2 linked regions of the Oreochromis niloticus genome follow. The main gene of each other region encodes a partner of the protein of the gene in region 2 in a complex. Links are inferred from orthologs where the notes say so. Each region holds a gene or a part of one and is shown on either strand. Other genes may lie near its edges.

What was found. The genes of interacting proteins can lie anywhere in the genome.
Region 1: ttf2 (region 2) and lg12h9orf78 share a complex: the UniProt entries of both Homo sapiens proteins name them as parts of the spliceosome. The link is inferred for Oreochromis niloticus from reciprocal best matches to the Homo sapiens genes TTF2 and C9orf78.

The regions. Positions count from the first base shown.
Region 1 is NC_031977.2:13,550,166-13,560,349, forward strand, and holds lg12h9orf78 (splicing factor C9orf78 homolog), read right to left. Parts: upstream 3,319-10,184; 5' UTR 3,240-3,318; coding exon 3,163-3,239; intron 3,003-3,162; coding exon 2,943-3,002; intron 2,837-2,942; coding exon 2,785-2,836; intron 2,666-2,784; coding exon 2,595-2,665; intron 2,514-2,594; coding exon 2,436-2,513; intron 2,014-2,435; coding exon 1,816-2,013; intron 1,652-1,815; coding exon 1,515-1,651; intron 1,435-1,514; coding exon 1,330-1,434; intron 582-1,329; coding exon 484-581; 3' UTR 156-483; downstream 1-155. Other genes in the region: NFU1 iron-sulfur cluster scaffold homolog, mitochondrial, read left to right, coding at 3,410-3,468, 5,811-5,911, 6,150-6,285, 7,334-7,400, 7,494-7,611, 7,722-7,785, 7,903-8,077, 8,204-8,239; gfpt1 (glutamine--fructose-6-phosphate aminotransferase [isomerizing] 1), read left to right, coding at 9,388-9,394. UniProt on the Homo sapiens protein: Plays a role in pre-mRNA splicing by promoting usage of the upstream 3'-splice site at alternative NAGNAG splice sites; these are sites featuring alternative acceptor motifs separated by only a few nucleotides. May also modulate exon inclusion events.
Region 2 is NC_031987.2:27,397,488-27,408,537, reverse strand, and holds the start of ttf2 (transcription termination factor 2), read right to left. Parts: upstream 5,320-11,050; 5' UTR 5,220-5,319; coding exon 5,192-5,219; intron 4,979-5,191; coding exon 4,873-4,978; intron 4,601-4,872; coding exon 4,502-4,600; intron 4,392-4,501; coding exon 4,322-4,391; intron 3,804-4,321; coding exon 2,934-3,803; intron 2,115-2,933; coding exon 1,994-2,114; intron 1,714-1,993; coding exon 1,531-1,713; intron 1,427-1,530; coding exon 1,269-1,426; intron 524-1,268; coding exon 442-523; intron 230-441; coding exon 104-229; intron 1-103. Other genes in the region: cpap (centromere protein J), read left to right, coding at 6,371-6,754, 7,400-7,526, 7,645-7,857, 8,459-8,603, 8,699-8,804, 9,013-9,756, 10,061-10,883. UniProt on the Homo sapiens protein: DsDNA-dependent ATPase which acts as a transcription termination factor by coupling ATP hydrolysis with removal of RNA polymerase II from the DNA template. May contribute to mitotic transcription repression. May also be involved in pre-mRNA splicing.

The DNA.
Region 1 (10,184 bases), on a different chromosome or scaffold from region 2:
ATGCAGACAACTCTAAACTCACCTTTGAAACTCAAGTACTTTTTTATATTCCCGTGTTAGACTTTGCATTAAATGTATTTCTTTTTTTAAGAATGGCATTGGTTTACTTTTGTCTGTTTAATTTAACTGCACATCAGATTAAATCAAATATTACAATGTTTTTGGTTCTTTTTTTATTTTTTTTTTCTGAAATCTTTAAACACAAACCTACAGCTAAACATTTAACAGTGGACACTTAAAAAAAATCCTGACCAGTTTAAGACCAGAACCTGCATCCTTAGCGTATTCCTGTCTAAACTTAAGACAATCTTGAGCAAAAGAAATCATCTGAGACATTAACAACTGTATTGTATACAGACAAACAGCAGGAGCTATATACAATAATTACACAGTGTTGCCCTGATGTTAGAGCTATGCCATTAAAAGCCGTTTGGGGTCCTCAAATGAATCTTGAGTTTAAAATGTTTATATATATCCATCTCATCAATATCGCCGATTCATCTTCTTGAACTTCTCATAGTGGTAGTCATCTGTAGCCTTCTCATTGTTTGGACGTTTGCGGTAGTTTGGTGGTGACGGAGCTGTGGATGAACAAATAAGTTCGAAATCAGATTAAAGGTTTCAAAAGATTTTGAATAAATCCCCACACAGACACACAAGTAAATGGGGAAGCCATTGAAAGTAAATTAACTGCAGTGACTGCAATACAGTTTCTATCTAGCTTGGATAAAACGAAGAAAATCCTGAAACTGAGAAATATTATTTTTGGAAATGCACAAGTGTCAGTGACTTAAAACAACAGTTTCACATTCTGACAGGTCTGGCCCACAGGACAGTTTTCCACTTCAACTTAGACTTTATTAAATTTTGAGTTGGCAATGTTTTTGAAGTGTTTTAGTCCATGCAGTCATTTCCACTACAGATTCATGCCTGTTTTTAATTTATTGTGTCATGAGGGTCTGAAGGTCACAGCCTTCTCCCTTCGTGTGCAGAGATTTCTCTTGATTCTGTGAAATTATTGTCATTATGTACTGGAGATGATAAAATCTCCAAATTCCTAAGATAATTTTCAGAAAACTTGACCTCTGACTTTGATCTCAAAGTCAGGGTCACCAATATTTGAACTCATCCAAGAGTTATAGTAGATGCACCTATGGTATCAATTTGAAAATCCAACATTGCTTCATTCTCAAGTTATCATGTTCACAAAGCCGAGTGTCCATACTGCCCGCTCGCCGAGGTAATTCCACCCACCCATTTTCTTTTGTTTATCCAGCTGTAAACTATTACTATGTACTGAGCAGTGAGCGTATCTGTAGAGTCTCTTACCCTCTGGACCTGGTTTCTCTGTGTCGCCCACACGCAGCGGTCTTGCTTTGGGTTCTTCTTTGTGTCTATGGTGTCTCTGCGGTGCATTTGCATCCTCATGATAGACTGAAAGAAAAAGTCAGTTTGTTTAGTATTATCTGCTTTAATTTAGGTGTGGAATATCTCGCTCTCTTCAGATTACTTACATCGATTGTGTTGGACGTAGTTAACAGCGATATTCGTGGGTACAAATGATGTGCCGTGGTCTTTTTTCTTGTTTCTTTGTTCTGCCAAAAGTTTTGCTTTTGCATCCTCTGTCTGGATGATGTTCTTTATCTTTGCACTAGAAAAGAAATTACATACACAAGTTTTATTAGTAAAGCTATTAATAAAAAGCAGTATTCGTTCATGCCATATCTCATGCAAAAATGCAGTTTTAGTCAAAAGACTCCTCTTGCTGATTCTAAAATAAGTGTAGATGATTACTAGAATATTCTCAGTACATACTCAATGCCAAGATCAACTTCAGGGATGCCACTCAGCATCTGATTAGACAACATCTCCTCTGTCTTCTTGGCAGAATTGACTCGGATGTTCTCGGGCAGCTCATACAGGTGGTCCTCTGGATTCTTCACCTTAACTTTCTGCTCCTCAGCCTCCACCAGGCCCTTCTTCTTTTTTAGTTCCGTCTCAATATATTTCATCCTGTGAGGATAAATTTATGATAAAACCATGTTGTAAACAAGTGTGAGGGTATCTCGAATTCTGTCCTAAATGCTGGGGATTTGAAATGTCTCTTCTATGTAATCTGTGCTATATCTAACTAAAGTGGAGGGAAAAGAATCAGAATCAAATCCCCCTTATAACTGGAACTATTTGACCAACACAAAATGCTGTCAATTTAAAAAAAATAAAATAAAATAATTTCAGCTACATTAGATTTTTACATGTCAGTGTCAGGAAAAAAAAGTCTGCTTTTATGATAGACTTACATGTTGGGTTGAACCCATTTCTTTTACTTAAGTCATTACATTCTTGTTACCAAAGTGGAAGAGGGTGAAAGCGTGTCTTTATACATAATATGAGTAAGGGGATGGGACAACAAAAAAGAAAAAAAGCACACATACATATCCGCATCCTCGTCTCTTCTGTTTGTCTCGGCTGAAAAAGACGTCCCCAGGTTGAGGTCTGTCTCATCTTCTGTCCTGAATACATAACATGAAATGATGACATATCAATGCACAGCGTAGAGCAATTATGCTAAAAATAGTTAAAAACTCACTTACATGTCTCTATTCCTGTCTTTCACTTTCTTCATGTCAACAATTCCCCCAGTCTTCAGTTTAAATGGGTCATTCTGTGAGGAATAATCAAAATAATTTTAATAAACGTAAGTTCAAAAACCAAAACACCTTGGTTAATGAAGCTATATTACAATTTTAAAAAAATATAAATTTTACAAAACTGACTACCTACCTCAATTTCAGCCTCTGGTGGAAGTTTTTCTCCAACCAACAAGGCGGTCACACTAAATAAAAGAAATATAAAAAACTGTGATTCGGTATCTGACTGTGTAAAACTTCATGTAAAGTAACAGGATGAAACGTGTTCGTAGTTTGATTTATTTACGTTACCTGATTCCGCTCTGTCGTTTGCGCAGACTTTGTAGCTCTTTAGCCTCTTCTAACTTATGCCTAAACATCCATGAAACACAAACGATTGCAAACACATTACCTGGGCAGCTTATATAAAATGCGACAACAAACTATCTGCGTTTAGCGATTAGCATTAGCATGCATAGCATTACTCTAAACGGCTTTTTTTTTATTCCTGTGGTTAAACAGACGGCTCTACCTGACTTCTTCGGTGGTCTCATCCTCCTCCACATCGGACGAGTCCTTTCTCCTTCTAAAATTTTTGCCACACGGCATTTTTTTTCAGATACTACACAAAATTATTTCAGACTTTTCTAGAAGCTGCACTTGAGTGTAGCTACTGCTGGGATAAGAGGGGGGACGATTTAACAAATGTACAATAATAGTGCGTCACGTCCCCTTATTTACCGCGCCACTTCCGTCCTGTTTAGATAACCATAACAAACATGGCGACTTACAGGCAGGTCGGCAGATTGTTGGGTATTTCAGGAAGACTTTCTCGTCCGTAAGTGGTTTTGTATTTATCTTTATCTGCATTGTTTTCTGTTTTTGCTTTATATCATGTGTGCATGAATGCGTCAGCATGTTAAGCATCAGGGTCAGGCTAATGGTAGCACGCTGGCTAAACGGCGGAGTGACGCAGACAGTCAGCTACAGAGCAGGGAGGTGTGGGGATGTTTTACTGCGTTAAGCGTCTCCACCAGCCGCTTATTAACACTTTAAAGTGGTCAGTATCAACCACGACAAACCTTTTCAAACTTTAAAAAATGTTTTTGGTTTTGTTGCATAAGTGCTAAAACTTTAGCCCGATTCTAATCTGCTTTTTCTGAATTATCCTGAGGTGTACACAGCGACACCGTTACTGTCGACAGTTCATATCCATAAGTTATTATAGTTAAACAAAAGTATTACATGTTTTAGTATCGCTTAGCTTGTTTTGTTTTTTTTGTTGTTGTTTTTTTTGTTTGTTTTGTTTTTAATTGTTAATGCTGCCTTATCAGGTTTTGATAGATATATTTATTTAGACCTAGGAAGTTTATAACTGTGCTGGTTTTACTAAATCTTGCCTCCAACACATGCCCTTAATTCAATAAGTGATTAAAAAAAAACAATCTAAAACTAAGACACAAGTTAAACTAAAACTAAACATTTTCAAAAAAGAAGTGAAACGAGGAAACTCACTTTGTAAACTAACTCAAACTAAACTGAATTAAAACATCAAAATGAAATATAAATAACAATTAATTACAAAAGGCAAAACTAAAATAACTGTCCATAAGAGACAATGTCTCACAATTACTCTGTTTCTGCTGGTGTTTCTACGGTCTTATACACTCAGACATGTCATTACATACGTCTTTCTAGTACTGGGTTTGACCCCCTTTGCCTTAAGAACTGCCTCAATTCTTCATGACATGACCAAAATGGTTGAGGAGTTAAGGCAATGTGAAGTTCACATGGTAAAATTTAGGCCGTTTGTTTGTTTGTTTGTTTGTTTGTTTGTTTGTTTGTTTGTTTTTTACCTTGTGAATTTCCTGTCCTACCATGATAAATTAAGTATCCCATTAAGCCCGTTTTCTCTTTCTTCTGGAACCATTTGAATTATGTCTTTAGCAAAAATGGAAATAGTTACTGTCATTTAAAGAGCACTTGTAAATAAAGGGTTAAAGAAGCAAGCCTTTATAACAGGCTAACTGTGGTCACAAAGGGATGGACATGGTCAGCAGCATGTCATTCCACTTATTCCCAATTTATCCTCAGATGGAAATAAGGGGCTCAAAGTATACTAAGAAAAAAATTTGCACGATTGCTACACTACCTGAAGGCTAAACCATTGATACAAGGCAGGATGGAGCCATGACAAATCCGACCGTACTATCCAAATATCGCAGCAGAAATTGAAATTCATCCCGAATGTACAGATCAACTGTAATCCTTTTCTTTTTGTTTATATGTACAAAGAAAAACTCTTAATAAAAAGACATTGTTTAAAAAAAGAAATTGAAATTCATGAGACCAGGTAGTGTAAATAGTATCTTGTTTCCTGTTCTTAGCAGACAGGAGTGCCACCCAGTGTGGTCTTCTGCTGCTGTAGCCCATCTGTTTCAAGCTTCAATGTGTCTTGCATTTGGATAAGCTCTTCTGTTGTAATAAGTTGTTATTTGCGTTTGACTTTGTATCAGCTCAGGTTCATTCTCATTTGACCTCTGACCTTAACAGTGTGCTTTACCCCAGAGAACCATTGTTCACCAGATATTTTCTCTCTTTCTGACAATTCTCTTTAAACATTAAATATGGTTGTTTAGGAAAATCCCAGCAGAACAGCAGGTTCTGGCACATCAAACACCAAATAAAAGTAACGGGCAGATTTCTGCTATTGTCCACTTTCCTTGCATATCATATACTGTGCCATTTTTCCCTGTAATTGTACTATGTTTGTCTGTGTTTTCTATTTTGTAAATCAAATGTCTTATAAAGAAAAAAAACATGTTTAGTTGTCAGTGAAATGATTTCTTCTTGGCTAAAGTAAGACAAATACTGACTGCACAGTGTAACGCTTTAAGCTCTGCATGACCCCTTTGGTTTGTTTTACATGTTGCCTTATGCAACAGTTTGTAATACCTCGGCTACAAATTATTAGTTGTACAAACACTGTGCACCAAATCATTTTAGTGGATTAGTCTCACCACACCTTCATGTTTTGAAGTCAGTACTTTACCACTCCAGAGAGGAAGGCATTAGATGAAGTGGGCTGACACGGGTGCTTGACATTTGGATTTCTAACACCATTCATTTATCAGTGTGAGTTGCGTTGTATTAAATGTCTTAATCTGCTGCATTTTTCAGTCTTGCTGTCAGTGGGTTTCAGAGCACTGGATTACACTTGCCTTCACATACCACAGGAGTTTCGAACAGATGGCCCTCAAACCCCATCTGGATTGTTCCTGGTTTGTATTCCTGTTGCTTCCCATAATAATCACATGTGTAACATTGAATGTGTTTATACTGGAGTGATTGTCTTGAACCCAATAGATGCAGCTGTTGTTTGAGCAGGTGCCTGTAGGACATGTGACATTAGCCTTGCAGTTCAATAAAGTAAAGAGTTGCTGCACAAAATAAGGACACCGTGTAATGAAAACAGGTGATTTATGTTGCATTCTTCTTCTTTGTTTTTTCTCTGCCCAGGAAGAACCATGTTTGTGCAGACCCAGGATACACCAAATCCAAACAGCATGAAGTTCCTGCCTGGCCGGACAGTTCTTGAAACAGGAACTATGAATTTTGCCGGCCCTCGTGAGGCACACTGCTCACCTCTAGCCAGGTATGTGAGATTACTGGTCTGAGAGAAATGCCTGATGTGAAACAGTCATCTTAGCATAGCAGATGTAGGTAAATGAGTTTAAATACATGCAGTCAGTGCGCTGGACAGTGCACAAGACAGGTGAATAACTGACTGGGTGGAGTGGATGGAGATGAGTGGGTGATTTGTGACAGAAGAAAAGCAGCAAGAGTGAAGGAGACATTTTACAAGATAGTAGTGAGACCTGCTATGATGTATGATTTGGAGACAGTGACCCTGACAAAAAAAAACAAACAAAAAAACCCAGAGATGACAGAGTTGAAGATGCTAAGATTTTTATTTAGAGTGATCAGGATGGACAGGATCAGAATGAGCATGTCAGAGGGACAGCTTAGGTTGAGCAGTTTAAACACAAAGTTGGAGAGCCAGGCAAGGCTGAGATGGTCTGGACATGTGCAGAGAAGTGATGGTGGATATGCTGGACAATGGGTTTTGAATATACAGCTTCCAGGCAGGAGGAAAATAGGTGGACCTCCAGAGAAGGTTGGTAGATGTCATGTAGGAGGACATTAGTGTGACAGTGGAGAACGATGGAGTGAAATGGAGGCAGATGATCCACTGTGGCAAAAACTAAAAGGAGCAGCCAGAAGAAGAATGGATTAATAGTTTGACTTCTGCTAGTCACATGACAAGATTGATTTACCGGTACATGCCTTGTTGGTAGGGCAGTAACCAAGGCAGCATTTACTCTTACCAAATATTAAAAAAAAAGGTGTAACCTCTGTTATGCACAGAAACAGTAGACCTCTCTTCTCACAGCCCAGCACGCTGCTGATTCGGATCCTCAGTGTAACGCTTTTACCTCTACCTAGCAATTTTGAACAGAAATATTATTTTCTAATTCTATTCCCATTAAAATATTATGTTAATAAATGTGACTGGTACCTGAACACAATTTGCATGTCTATATGTGTGTATTTATTTGTTACAAACATTGCACGACCTCCTGTATTAAGTGTAAAATTTATCTTTAAGTGTGGCATAATAAAACCTCAGTGATTGTCTTCAGGCAGCTGTTTAGGATCGATGGAGTGAAGAGTGTGTTCCTGGGCCCTGACTTTATTACCATAACGAAGGTAAAGCCATGTCCAGTTTGTAAGAATTGGTACTGGCACAGCTTGGCATACCACAACTAAGAATAGCTTGGTTTCTCGTCCTTCTTCATTTAGGCCGACCCAAATTTGGAATGGAAGGTAATTAAGCCTGATGTGTTTGCTACCATTATGGACTTTTTTACCTCCGGGCTTCCTGTTGTAAACGAGGACAGCCAGCCAAGCCCAGATACAGGTATGGTTTTCAAACAGCTGTGGCCTGCCCATTATCAAAACATCGACTTGGACAGAAATAACAAGCTGCTTTGAATGCTGAGGAACAACAATCTCTGCTTCTCCTTTCAGCACCATCAGATGATGACGACGAGGTAGTTGCTATGATTAAAGAACTACTAGATACTCGAATAAGGTAACTACTCATGAAGATGCAGTATGATCTCAGGGCCTGTTGCTTCCTGTGCTTTGTTTTTTTTTTGTTTTTTTTTGTTTTTTTGCCTAATACCAGTCAATGTTCTCACTCGGTCAGGCCAACTGTGCAAGAGGACGGGGGAGATGTTCTATACCGCGGATTTGAAGATGGCGTTGTTAAACTCAAGCTGCAGGGCTCTTGCACCAGTTGCCCCAGTTCAATTGTGACTTTGAAGAGTGGCATCCAAAACATGCTACAATTTTATGTACCTGAGGTTGAATCAGTGGAACAGGTTTGTTGTCTTTCTCTCATTTGATTTTAGAACACTGTTAATTTTTAAGATGTTAATCCTGACATCTTGATTTATATTTCATGTTCAGCACTTGAGCTGTAAAGAGCTTTTATGTATGTCTTCCAGGTGAAGGATGAGGAGGAGGAGGCTGCTCAAGTCTGAACCACTGAAATCATATGTACACATTCCTGTCTCTACCAGCTGCCGACTTTAATGCAAGCAATAGTTGCAATAAAATAATGTGTTTGATAGCACAGCTGTGTGAAAGAAACAATCACCATTATCCATTCAGATGTAATCTCATATGTGTTGTTTCCCAGATGTTTTCTGTACAGTGACAGTATTTAACAAGAATAGCCCAGTCACAGGAACAGCTGACTGAAATAATTTATTTATTACTCCACATCTGTCAAGCAAGCAAAGCAGCCTTTTAGGTTTAAAATCAGTATACTGTATGTGTATAAATAAAGTTTGTTATAATATTTTGTGACCATTTGTCTCCTTTGTGTACATAAGTGTTCCAACTAGTGGCCTAGTTGAAGATGCTCAGATTTCCATTGAGAATGACCAATATGGCCAGGACTAGAAATGAGTACGTCAGGGGGACACCTCGAGTTGAGCAGTTGAAACACGAGAGGACTGATTGTGTATATATTGAACAAAGGTTGTTGAAGATGTAGCTCCCAGGCAAGAGGAAAAGAGGACTTCAGAGGACATGCAGAGGGTTGGTGCGGCATAAGAGGAGGGTACCAATAAGGTGAGATGAAGGCAGAAAATCCAGGGTGGTGACTCATGAGCAGAGCGACCAAAAGAAGAAGGAAAAATAGAAAGTGGGTATTTTCCACTAAAATTATATGGACCATTTAAACTATGTAAGGCCAAAAACTATAAAAGGCAATTTTGCATATAAACATTTTCAAAAGAATTGGTGGATTTCTGAGGGACGTTGTACCTCAGTAATTCTAAAATTGCCAGAGCATACACAGGCTCCTGTCTTTTGAGCATTTTTAGCAATATTTTCCTTCCACGGCCAGTAGAAAGCACAGGCCTTCCATTGTGGGCCGATGTTGACTCTTGCAGCAGCAGGATCTGCAGGATGTTCCGGCTGCGAATCGCATCCTTATGCCACGTCAGAAGTGCGTACGTCTGTAGGCGCAACCGGAATCGACAGACCTCCTGACCAATCAGAAGACGCCATGGAAGAACGCGGTTGGCTATGATTCATAGGAACCATCGGGGGCGGAGCTTATTGACAGGCGTTCCCAGCTACCGACTTCAGAGTAGCTGTAACTGGCAGCAGAACTGTAGCCATGTGTGGTGAGTATTGCATTTATTCTATACTTATATTAATCGGCGCTGAATGTATGTGGTTCAGGTTTCACCAGAATAGCTAGCTGAATAGTTATTCAGTTATTGCCTTGTTAGTTTGAGGATAAATGCTGGAAATGAGCTAGGGGAGGCTAAAGTGAGTATTGTATGGCCAACATGATGTTGCTAGCCAGCTAAATATAAACCGGTCTGTGTTTTTTCGTTTTACTCTGAAAGCTGCTTGATCTGGGATAACACGATCAAGCAGCGGGGTCGATATTTGAGTGCGACATTAAAATGGTAACCTGCTTTACGACGTTATTACCCATCGAGTAAGTTTCCAGTAGCTAAATCTCTGTCTGTTACTGTGGTCTGTGGATCTAGATGACTGTGACAGAGACGTTTGAAAACGAGTTACACTCGTTGTTATTATGAAAAAAAACGAAAGTGTAACTAGATGAACTGTGTTCTTTGGGATAATACCATACCATCTTTATTTATAAAGCACTTTAACATATAAACCAGGGTTCACAAAATGCTGTACATATACAAATAGCATAAACAAAACATAAAATCAAATATGTTTTTAAAAAAAATAGTCAAATTGAGTCAACCCTTTAAAAGAGTGCCAAAGGCTTTAGTGAATACTGTACTATATAATGTTGGTGTATCGCTGTGAATTAACGTCAGTCTTTCACTGTCTACATGACGCCAGTGGTCATAATCAGTTTGATGCTTTCTAATCCTGTCCTATCTCCGCTGTCTCCATCTATCTCAGTCCTGTGATTGATACCTGACA
Region 2 (11,050 bases):
AAGGAAATAGGAAAGGAAATAGCTAAAAAAGGAAGAACTGTGTAATTTTATTTAGCTGGATTATATTTGACCCACTGAGTCAGTGACAAAAGGTTCTCGTTACCAGTTTTGGATAACCAGCTATCCTTCTTCTTCTCTTCCATCTCCTCCTTGTCCTTTTTTGCCTTCATCTTCATGGCCAGTATGAGAGAAATCATTGTCAAGGTCTTCCCCAGACCCATGTCATCCGCTGATTAAAAAGAATACAAATGAGATATACTAGAAAAAAGATGAAGAAATGATAAGAAGCGAGGTGTTCCTCTCTTTGTCATGTGAGCAAACTGACTGGCCTGAGGAGACCATTTCTGTACATAGAATAGCAAATTAAATGTAACAAACAGACCCCACGGGCTTAATTCCAACTTTAAACAGAGGAAGAAAATCACATGAAAAAACACTCACCCAGTATTCCTCCACAGGGACTCTGCGTTTCTCTCCAGAGCAACCAGGCCAAAGCTCTCCTCTGATGGGGCAGGAGAGGCACCTGAGCAACCAATCACAATGCAGCAATCTTAGACTAACATCATCGTCCAATCAAAAGAGGAAATATAGGCTGTATCATTCTAAATTGTGACAGTTTTGTGAATAAAAGAAAATGTTTTGATGCAAAAATGAAATACTCTACGAATTAAAATATATGGACACATAAAGATTATATTCAGATGCAATTTCTTAGAGCATAATAATGTAAAACTCTGAGCTAAAATTGGATGCTCTATTTCTAAAGCTGACCTTAAAATGTTGCTGCAATACTAGAAGCAGAAAACCATCCTTAAAATGAGGAGTAAATAAATGGCACTCAGTCAGACACCAGGTATTTTTTATGCAGTACAGCCTCAGTCTGAGCAGTCAAATCAGAGTAAAGATGGCGCTGAGTGTCTTGTAAAAAGTGCTGATAGATGAATTTAAAAGTGGGGTTTCATATCTTGAAATTTTGGATCATGCTTTTTGGTGAAACTATTTGTGTAACAGTTCAACCTCTCCTGCTAGGAGTTGTCTCTCATCCACTATCTTCTATATCACAACACCTTAAAACGTAACCAAAATGTAACCATTGACTGACAGAGCTGAGCACTAAAGCTTGCAGTTTAACTAAAGCCTTGTGTAATCAGTCAGAATATCTGAGTGCTGCTATGAGTTTCCTTTATTTTTGAAGTTTTTGTGAAAACGTAGCCGTTGTTGTCGGATTTTTTTTTTGCCACAGTAGTGAGTGAGGCAGTGTGTAACACCTTGATACCCTTGGGATCAGGGGCCTCAGCCTCGGCATCAGGACAGGACTCCAGGGACTTGTGGAGATGGTCGATGGCCTCACAGGTGGCATTTTTCACCGCCAGAAGACGGTCGTCGGTCATTCTACCCCCATAAAATGTCTGTGCCTGTGGGTATGCTGGAAACATTAAGGATGAGTGATTAGCAATCTATATTAATTTCAAGTTTTAAAAAAATGATTACACATTTTATAGAAGTGTTTCTCTTTCCTATTTGGCATACCTCCATACATCTGAGAGTATCCCTGGCTCAGCTGGAGCCCCAGAGAGCCACCAGAGGCCTGATGATGGTGCAGGGCTGGGGCTGGAGGAGCAGGGAGCAGGATGGTCCCACCCTGCCGGCTGAATGGATTCATCTGAGTGGTGCTGAAACCAGAATCAGTGCTGCTACACGCTTTCTCAGACTCTGAAAGGGAGACACAGACATCCAGCCAAATCTAAAAAACCTTGTTGGTTTTATTATTACACTTTCGCCTGCACGTGTGTTTTTCAGGGACAGAAAGAATATCAAAGAACATCAAATTACACAGCAACTTACTAAGACAACAACAACAAAAAAAAGTCTCTCAAGGTTTTGCCCATGTATGCATAAGGGCTTAACTGGGAGTATAGCTGGGGTACATAGTGGAATAACTAATAAGCAGTTGAATAAACCATCTATTTCTATTGTGCAGTGTGACTCCTACCAGGCTGAGAAGCAGCAGTGAGGCTCAGTGACTCCAGGGCTTCCTCCAGCTCTTTAACCTGTGTCCTCAACCTGTCTCCTTTATCTGGTAGCGCCTCCAAGTTTACCGAAGATAGAGTGGCCTGAGGACAGAGTGAAGACAAAGAGCTCTCATAAGCCTGAGTATTAAACTAACCAGCTGCTCTGTAGTATTTGTTGTTGTGATGTATACAGTACTGGAATGTGTAAAGTGAATTTTGATTTTGGATGTTGATTACTGACCAGCAAACTCTTAATCCAATTTTCTGTGTACTAGTTGACTGACCGATTAAGATACAACCCGACTGATGCAGGATTTTTAATGCTGATACTGACAGTTGGCCATTTAATTGTATTCTTTTCCAAAAACTCAACAGATTTTCCTAACATTAGTTGTGCCTGGTCATTGATTATCTTGTTTACTTTATGCTCTGTCCTGATCAACTTATAACAAGGTTGAAAGGCGTTTCTTCCATCTGGTCTTTTTTTCCCCCCACTTTTATTTATGGGCTGTTAGCAGTTAGCTAATACCAGCCAATTAGATATCAGCCCAATGATAAATCACATTGCTGGACTTGTAAACTAAACTGTACTTAACAGCTACCTCAGCCTACTTTGTCAGCTAGTGTAGCTAACAGTGTCAACTTTAACATTTAAAGAGAAAAGTACATTCTGAGAGCTTGCAGATTATTTACTATGATATAATTACAAGTACTACAAATATTCTTCGGTGTTTTGGGAAACGCAGCCTAAGAGTGACTGATATGAGTATATCGGGGCGGTTAATTAACAGATTTCTTAATGCGGACATGTTTGACATGCATATAATATATTTTTTTAAATATTATAATAATATTTGTATGTTAGGTTTTAAATCAATGCAGTGCTCATGCATGACATGTGTTGTCTCCTCTTCCCCTCACCTTTTTCTGCTGGAGCTGAACGGTGAGCAGGTTCTGCAGCCCTTTGGGGTTTTCCACCGGCTTTTTGATGTTAGAAGCTGGCTGGAATCCTGGGAAGTTGGTCAGCGTCTTTTGGACAGTAGAAACAGGAGGAGTCTTCTGCGGAGCAGGCTTCACAGACACCAGTACCACATCATCATCATCGTCGTTGTTTTCGGGACTGTTGGGCTGACTGGACTCTGACTGAGTTGGTTTGTCAGGTATGGGGCTCCTGCTGCTGTCAGAGTCTCTGGATGCATGGGTGCAGCTGCTCTTTTCTAGTATTTGTTTGGTTTCTTTCACCTGAGAGGTTTCGGCATCAGATGGTTGCTGAGTCAAGTTCCTGTGAGAAACTGGTGCAGTTTGATTGATTGTTTTGAGTTGATGTTTGTTTGATGACTCAGAATGAACAGTCTTGACGCTGGAGGAAGAAATGCCTTTTTCTTCTTCTCCTTGCTTGATGCGGTTCTGCTCGGGCGTGTCTTGAATCTTCTCGGTTCTTTTTTCAACACTGTTTTCTTTGGGACTGTTGTTCTCCTCATTTGAAACTCTCTTTTTTAACTTCATCCCCAGTGGAAGTTGTTTACCCCGGTAAGTATCCGACGACCTGTGCTTATCATCTGCCTTTTCTTCCACTCCTGCACCTTGTTGCCTTTCATTTTCTTTCTGATAACTTGCTCTTCCTTCAGCCTTGTGACTTGCTTCTTTCTCTTCATGTCTATTGTTCTGCAACTTTCTCCACTCAGAGTCCTTGTCTGCCTGGCTTGGTGCCTTAAAGGGGTTTCGTACAGGTGGAAGACATGAGGGCTGTAGCTGTGTGTCAGACAGAGGGCTTCTCTTTTCTGTTTCCGGCTGCAATCATGGAAGACAACACACTTTAAAAAAATATGTCATAGAAATTTACAGAAAAGTGTCTAATAACAGCTAATCCCTCATGTGGTGTTTAAAAAAAGTAAATAGTTCAGAATAGGAAAAATACTTGTTCATACCATTTAGCTACATCCTATTTAAGGCTGCAACTTATGATTGTTTACATAATAAATGTATTAATCAATGCATACGCCAGGAAAACCGTAAAACATTTACAGTTACACAGCATTAAAGAAAAAAACAACAAAAAACAACAAATACAAAAGAGGTAAGGATTACTTTTGTTTTGAGTGACTGACCAATGAATTGACTAATTCATACAAGCTTAATTATTAGTGGAGTAGTGAGAACACTAACTTAAAACTTTAACCGCATTTTTAATAACTAAAAACTATCTTTAATAACTGTCTCAATGCGATGGCCAGAAACCGTTGGTGATACAGATACTGAATGTATATAAAAAAACAAGTGTGTGTTGGGAAATCTGTGACAGCACTTACTGCAGTCCAGGGTACATTTCCACACCACCTCTGGCCTGCTTTTTTACCTACTGCACATCGGTAGAACAACCTGGAAAACGAGAAGGAATTTGCAGTTAAATACAGAGTCTAACCAACCTGGTATCTAGTCATATAAGCTGCGTATAAGCATGCAATTTCAGATTTCTTTCTAATACATACATACACACACACCTATAGCCCTGCTGTGGCTGACTGTAGCTGAGAGCCTGGAGTTCCACCATTGAATCTTCATGATGGAGGCAGTGTGATGGTGAAATGCTAGAGATATGATAATTCACATCAATAAAACAAATATTTGTGCAACACACACATTTGTTTATCAATAACTTTAACAATATGTCAGTGAATAACCTCAGATGTTTGGAGAGGGCCAGTGAGTATAGTAAAGTTGGCTACTGAGATGAATGGAACAAAAGCAATGTAAGGATATGGCCAGTGAATAGTTAAGAGACTATTATTTGGTTCAAACACAGTGTCAATGAATGGTTCAGGTCTGAAAATACAGAGGCCTATTGTCATCGGGGGAATACCTGGTTTGCTGACTAAAATCACAGCCTTGCTTGTCAACGCAGACGTAGAAGCTCTTGCCTTTATTGGGTCCGTCTTTTAATCCGGTTTTTAACATACACACGCCGCCTGTGACAAAAAGGTCTCTCTTTAGAAACACGTAAAAACTCGAAGTGCGGAATATTTAAACCGAAGGTTAAACTAATTATTAAACTATGTGGGCAGCAAACCTTTTTTGTCCTCAGGATAAAAACACAAATATAACCTCTTTAAATCAAACACAATATCCAGTTTACCATTTTATAACACATAATTAATCACCACTGACCGATTACCACTTACCGTGTATACTACATACAACCTTTTCCATTTTATCAACACATTTAGTTCAGTTCAGTTACTAGAACGTGAAGGGAAGGGCTGTATTTTGTATAGACCAATCGCAGCTCTCGGATAACACATCCGCTCTGCAAACGTCAGTATAAAAGTCAAGGTCCGAGTTATTTAGCAAAATTGTATTATGATGGACAAAGACATAATATATAATGATGTATTAACATTAAATACCGATAAATATTAAATACATAACAATATTAAAAAAATAAACTCAACAAACGCCAAATTGCATTTGCTTGATGACTGTTATTGTGAAATATATTTAACTTTTAACCGGATATAATATAAGCTAGTTCCGAGAACTTCCGTAAACCTGTTCCGTAGAAATTTTTTTTTTTAATACATGTATGCAGAAGTGACTTTTCTGTTTAAAAAACGTATGTTTTGTATATAAAAATCATTATTTATAATTTCTATGAAATAAAAAGACATTTAAAAAACAGTTAGGACCAGCGTGATGTAAGACTACGTTACCCACAATGCAACAACAACTTCATCGTTGGGTTTTTTGGTCTCGCGGGCTTTGTTTTGATATGGCGGCAGGCTTCGAATTTTTTGTTTGTTGCCTTTGTATAACGCCCGATTTCATCACAGTAAACCTGCTTTTCTCCTGAGTTACAGGTAATGTCGATGTGTTTTGCGATGCTTGTTAATGTTGTAGTGTCGTCACTACAGTGTAACATCCGGGAAAAGTTTTTATGAAATAAATAAAACGCAGCCTGCCAATAACGGGAGAGTGTCGACGAGGAAGCCAAGCCTTTTAAATAAAGCGACATTTGAGGAAAATGAAAAGAGCACTTCCACATTCCACGTGAGCCACATGTCATAAATGCCACCATTCTCTCCTATGTTTTTTTTTTAATAGACATTGTTAAGATTATTGTTCGTAACCAAATATCTGGAACTGACTTCTGTGTAGCAACCAGGACGGAAACCAATCTCGTATTAAAAAGGCAATGTCTTTTCTATATATAACGTCCCTATGTATAGCTTTATTGGACCTGGGCGTCAGCTATAGGGTGTTGGACGGTGTTTATTCGTGGCGTGATTAACCCTTAACCTGTCACCATAATCTTTCTCTTAGATCCCGGATTAGACTATCCTGCCTGCGACATCGCAGCCATCATGTCATCTCCAGCTGGCCTTCAGTACTCCCAGGCAGACTTGTTGGCCCGATGGATGCCAAGTAGCACCAGAGCCGGAGTGATCCTCAGTCCCTCTCCGGATTTGGCTGGACCCTTGCGGCACACCTCTGCCGTGGGATCGTCGCCCATGTTGCCAGACGATTCCTTCGCTTCCGACTTTGCCCCGTTGCCCGCTTCTACAGACAGCAGCTGCCTCGGTGTGGATGCATTTAGACGGGCAGCAGGAGGAGAGATGACTGAGTCTGACAGGCCGGTGAACGGTCTAAACTCTGTCCCGACGAGAATTGCAGATGGACAGCTGGACACTTTGGACGAGATGGCAAGCAAATCACAGGATCTGCCCCTTATGATGAAGCTTGAACAGGTATGGACATCAGTGCTTTTCAGAAGCAGTTGTCTCCTGTAACTTGAGACAATCAAGTTGTTAAAAGTAGAAAATAAATTCTTAGTGAAACCAAGAACATATGTTTGGCATATGTGACTAGCCCTGCTGTGCATCTGAGGAGATGGACTTTCAATACCTAACATACATGACACAGATACTGGGAGGATCTTTAGTTTTACTGGTTTATAGATACAGGGGTGAGACAAAGCAGAAAAAATGAACCTATAATTTATTTATTAATAATGTAAGAACATTTGGACACTATAATGCCACAGATTTCCTAATATATGCAAATTTTGGGCCCTGCGTGGACTTCATTGTTGATTACATCACTGCTTCCTGTATACTTAATGCACCTCCATCACACACACTCCTTTACGTTTCTCTGCTATTAATAGAGTTTTTCCCTAAGGCAATTATGTTGGCTGGGACACAGATGCAATTAAACACTTAGACTATATGTCAAATGGCAGTATGTGCAGCGCATGTGGATTGACACTGAGCTGAAACTAGTGGTACTCAGAAACATCTAGGTTAAATGTATCTTAAACCATCTGAAAAACATAGTGGGAGCTAAGCTAAACTACATATCGAATTAGAATTTAATGCAATATGTGTGTGCAGTTAAAGAAATGGCAGCAGCACATGCAGGAGCAGCTAAAAGCTCATCAGCTGGAGGAGCTGCTTCATCTCCAGGAAGAGCAGCAGAAGCTACTGGGAACGCTGAATGGATCCCAGCACTGCACAGGAGGTCAGAGAGTGAAATTACACGAACAACTGCGAAGTGATCATTTTGAGTTCAGGGTGAATGTGGTGTGCAAGTATGTGTCCTGTTTCATAAACTGAAGTGATGATAACCCATCTTACAGAGAGTTCAGAAATGTCCGGACCAGAGTGGGTTGAGGACACGCTCCACAGGTCATGTTACACACAGTGCTCTTACAGTCCTGATACAAACCACCATGGAGTCCCACGGGGCTCTATGATTGGCCGTCAACCAGAACAGCAACTTTCACTAGTTGTCAGACACGAGCAGCTACCCAAAGGTCAAGCACCTGAGGAGGGTGATGATGAGGAAGGGGGTAAGATATATTTAATATTTTAAATGTAAGTTTCAAATGTAAGGCCCAGGGGCCAGAATCGACCCACCAAAGACTCCAAACCGGCCCACTGCACAGCTTCACATGTGTGAAATGTGAAGGAGTACATTAGATTTGAATCATTTCACTGTATTTTCATAGGTTTTACAGCTCTTCCTATTTATAAAGACCCCTTCCATGTCCATTCATACTACACAAAAGTTGGTAACTAATAGATAAACAATTGAATGACACTATCTACCATAGAAATGCATTTTGTTTTTTTTTGCAGGTAGTCCACAGTAAAGAATAAATTTGACATGATATTTTATTACTACAGGACAGTCTGGGCTATACATTTCCAAAACATTTTCTATAATTTGACATATCTGTCATATAGTTTCACTCTTCCAGTTTACTTAAGATCAAAGTGGGCTGTATGTCTCCTACGATGTAAAACAAGTTTGACATCCCTGGTTTAGAGTAAGACATTTCCACAGTTTCTTGGTATTTGTGTTTTCTATAGAACAGCCAGTGTGGATTTGCCCTGTCTTTCATCACACGGTTCACATGTTTTCAGTGGTTAACCGCTTTGTTTCTGTAGGCTCACTGGACTCCAGAGAAGATGAGGAGGAGCACAGTGTCAATGCGAGCCATTTTTCTGAGGAAGATGACACGTTAATGGAACATAATGCTGTGGCAAGGACTGAAGACGACAGCAGAACAGAAGACAAAGTCTTTCACGACAGGTAAATAATACATAGTCTTGTATTTATGTAGTTCTAACATCAGACTGTCTCGACAGATCAGTGTTTGAGTATGGTTTTGTTTGCCTCCTCTCCAGACCTATAAGGCCAGGTATTGGGGGTCAAAAGCAGACATTTGAGGAGCTGCTTGAGGAGCAGCTGAAGCTGGAGGAGCAGAGGCTAAAGTCTGCCCAGCAACAACAGGTCAGAGGATGTGTCGAGTGCTGAAAAGTATCAATAATGAACCATTCATTTGAGTTTGCATTCTGCAGGTGACAACCTGATATAGGAATGTAATGTCTGCACAAATGGAGCCTGTCTGTATTTTGCAATAAAATACTTTATTTAACTGGAAAAACTAAAAAAATTCCAATTTACATTGAATTCAAATCTTGTCCTATTCCTTCAACAGAGTCGAGATGGAGCCAACGCTGCGCAAGCCCCTCCTAAGAGAGCCTTCTTGAAGCGAGGAGAGGGCCTTTCGAGATTTACAAATAATCGGAAAGCTATGTTCCAAAAAACAGATGTAAAGAAGGACTCCAGACCACCACCGCCTCAAGCCAGAGTAATCTCTCGCAGCAACTCGGAGCCCACATATATTCAGAAAGGAGCCGCAAACAGTGCCCCACGGCTTCCTGTCCAGCGTAAAACTGCTACACTCAACAAGGAGAACCGGTTGAAGGGACTCAGTTCACCACCCCACGATATGAGAGCAGTGACTAAAGTAGCACGGACAAAGGTTTTAGGTAGTCATCAGAGACAGAACACAGCAGGACCAGAGACTGTCCAAACTGATCCAGGTGGCAGACCAGCCAAACATCAGCTGGGGAAAGTTCTGTCAGTTCAGGCCGTGAAAGCCCCTTGTCTCAATGTTCAGCCGTGTCCTACAACCAAACAGGGCGGGAAGTTAGGACAGGCAGGGGCGGCTGAAAATGAAAAAAGCTGTGGTTCAAAAGGGGAATTAGCAGAAGCAGGAGGGGTTTCTAAAGGAGGAGACCCAGTTATACAGGATTCCTTCGAGTTGTCTTTTCAGAAGAAGCTCCAGCGATGGGAGTGCGACCGACAGCTGGAGAGCATGGAGCTGGGAGAGTTTGAGCTGCTGGAGCAAGCGGCTGAAGAGCTGTCCTTCTCATCTAACTCCTCCTTTGTCATGAAGGTGCTCTATTTCACTCACCAACTCATCACGCTTTAATTCAACACTTCAAATGCTGGAATGTTTGGATGCCTACTGTTACAATTTTTTTTGTCACACAGTTTTTTGTGTTGGTAGTATCTGTTTCCTTGTTTGTGTTGTTGGGATTCAGTATTTCTGCTGCCCTCAAGTGGTCAAAATCTGCTATTGCATTTCTAAAGAAATTACCAGATTGGGTTGCCTTTCTCCAGGACTTTACTGTTAGTCTTGTGTTATGTAGACATAACCCCTCTCTCCAGAAAACTATTACTCTGCTCATTCCTTGCAGGTTCTTCAGATGGATCAACAACGACAGCTGCAGACTGTGAAGGGGCTCCACCAGCGACGCCTCTCTTCAACTCCCATTAAATCACCTCCTAAAGGTGTATTTCAGAGGTGCAATAGTGTTGGAAACACAGGTGGCTTAGCAAGCAACTCTTTGAACTCAGAAGCATTTGTAAAGACAAGAAATGATATACTAGAGAACAAAGAGAGCATTAAGGAGACACAGGACATTGAGAGAGAGGACAAACATGACATCTCTGACACGACACCCTGCAGCCGCTCTGAATGTGGAGACGACAAAGTGGTCAAAAGTTCTCTCTGCTTCCCTGCACCTATTAACCCACCATATGACAAGCGGTCGTATGAAGATGAGGATAGTTTCAGGGACTCATCTTCAGATGTGGCTGAAGAGGATGATGTGGAGAGTAAGAGTGTCCACAGCAATAGGGAGGACTCCACTCTGATAGAGGGCAAAGACGGCGAGCAGGGGAGAGTTGTGTTTGATGATGACGACACATGGAACGACCTGGAGGACACTGCCATCGGCACAGCCGATGAAAGCAAAGAGCTCAGTCCGATTTCCAAACCGACAGCCAGAGAAATTTCTCCCCCACAGAAGACTTTGTTGAGGAAGGTGGCTGTGAGCAAAGGTGTGGAGCTGGGGAAGGCCACAGGTATCGGTTCAGTCAATCTGGAGCCTGATCATCCTCCTGCCTCCCAGCTCATGACAAAGTTATTCCCCTCCCTGAAGCCAAAAGCCCAGAATGCACCACTCCCTCTTCCTCCAGCTGCTTCTGTTGAGTCCAAAAAGCCAGAGGAGGATACAGGTTAGACAAACACTTTCTTTGTTTGTTATTGCGTTAGTAGAATTAATGTTGATTGAATGTTAATAAACTTATACAAAATATCAGCAACTTTATTAAATGAAAAACTGATAGAAAAGCCAGTTAAAAACCACACATTCCTCTTATTTATCAGTTGTGTATGCATGTTG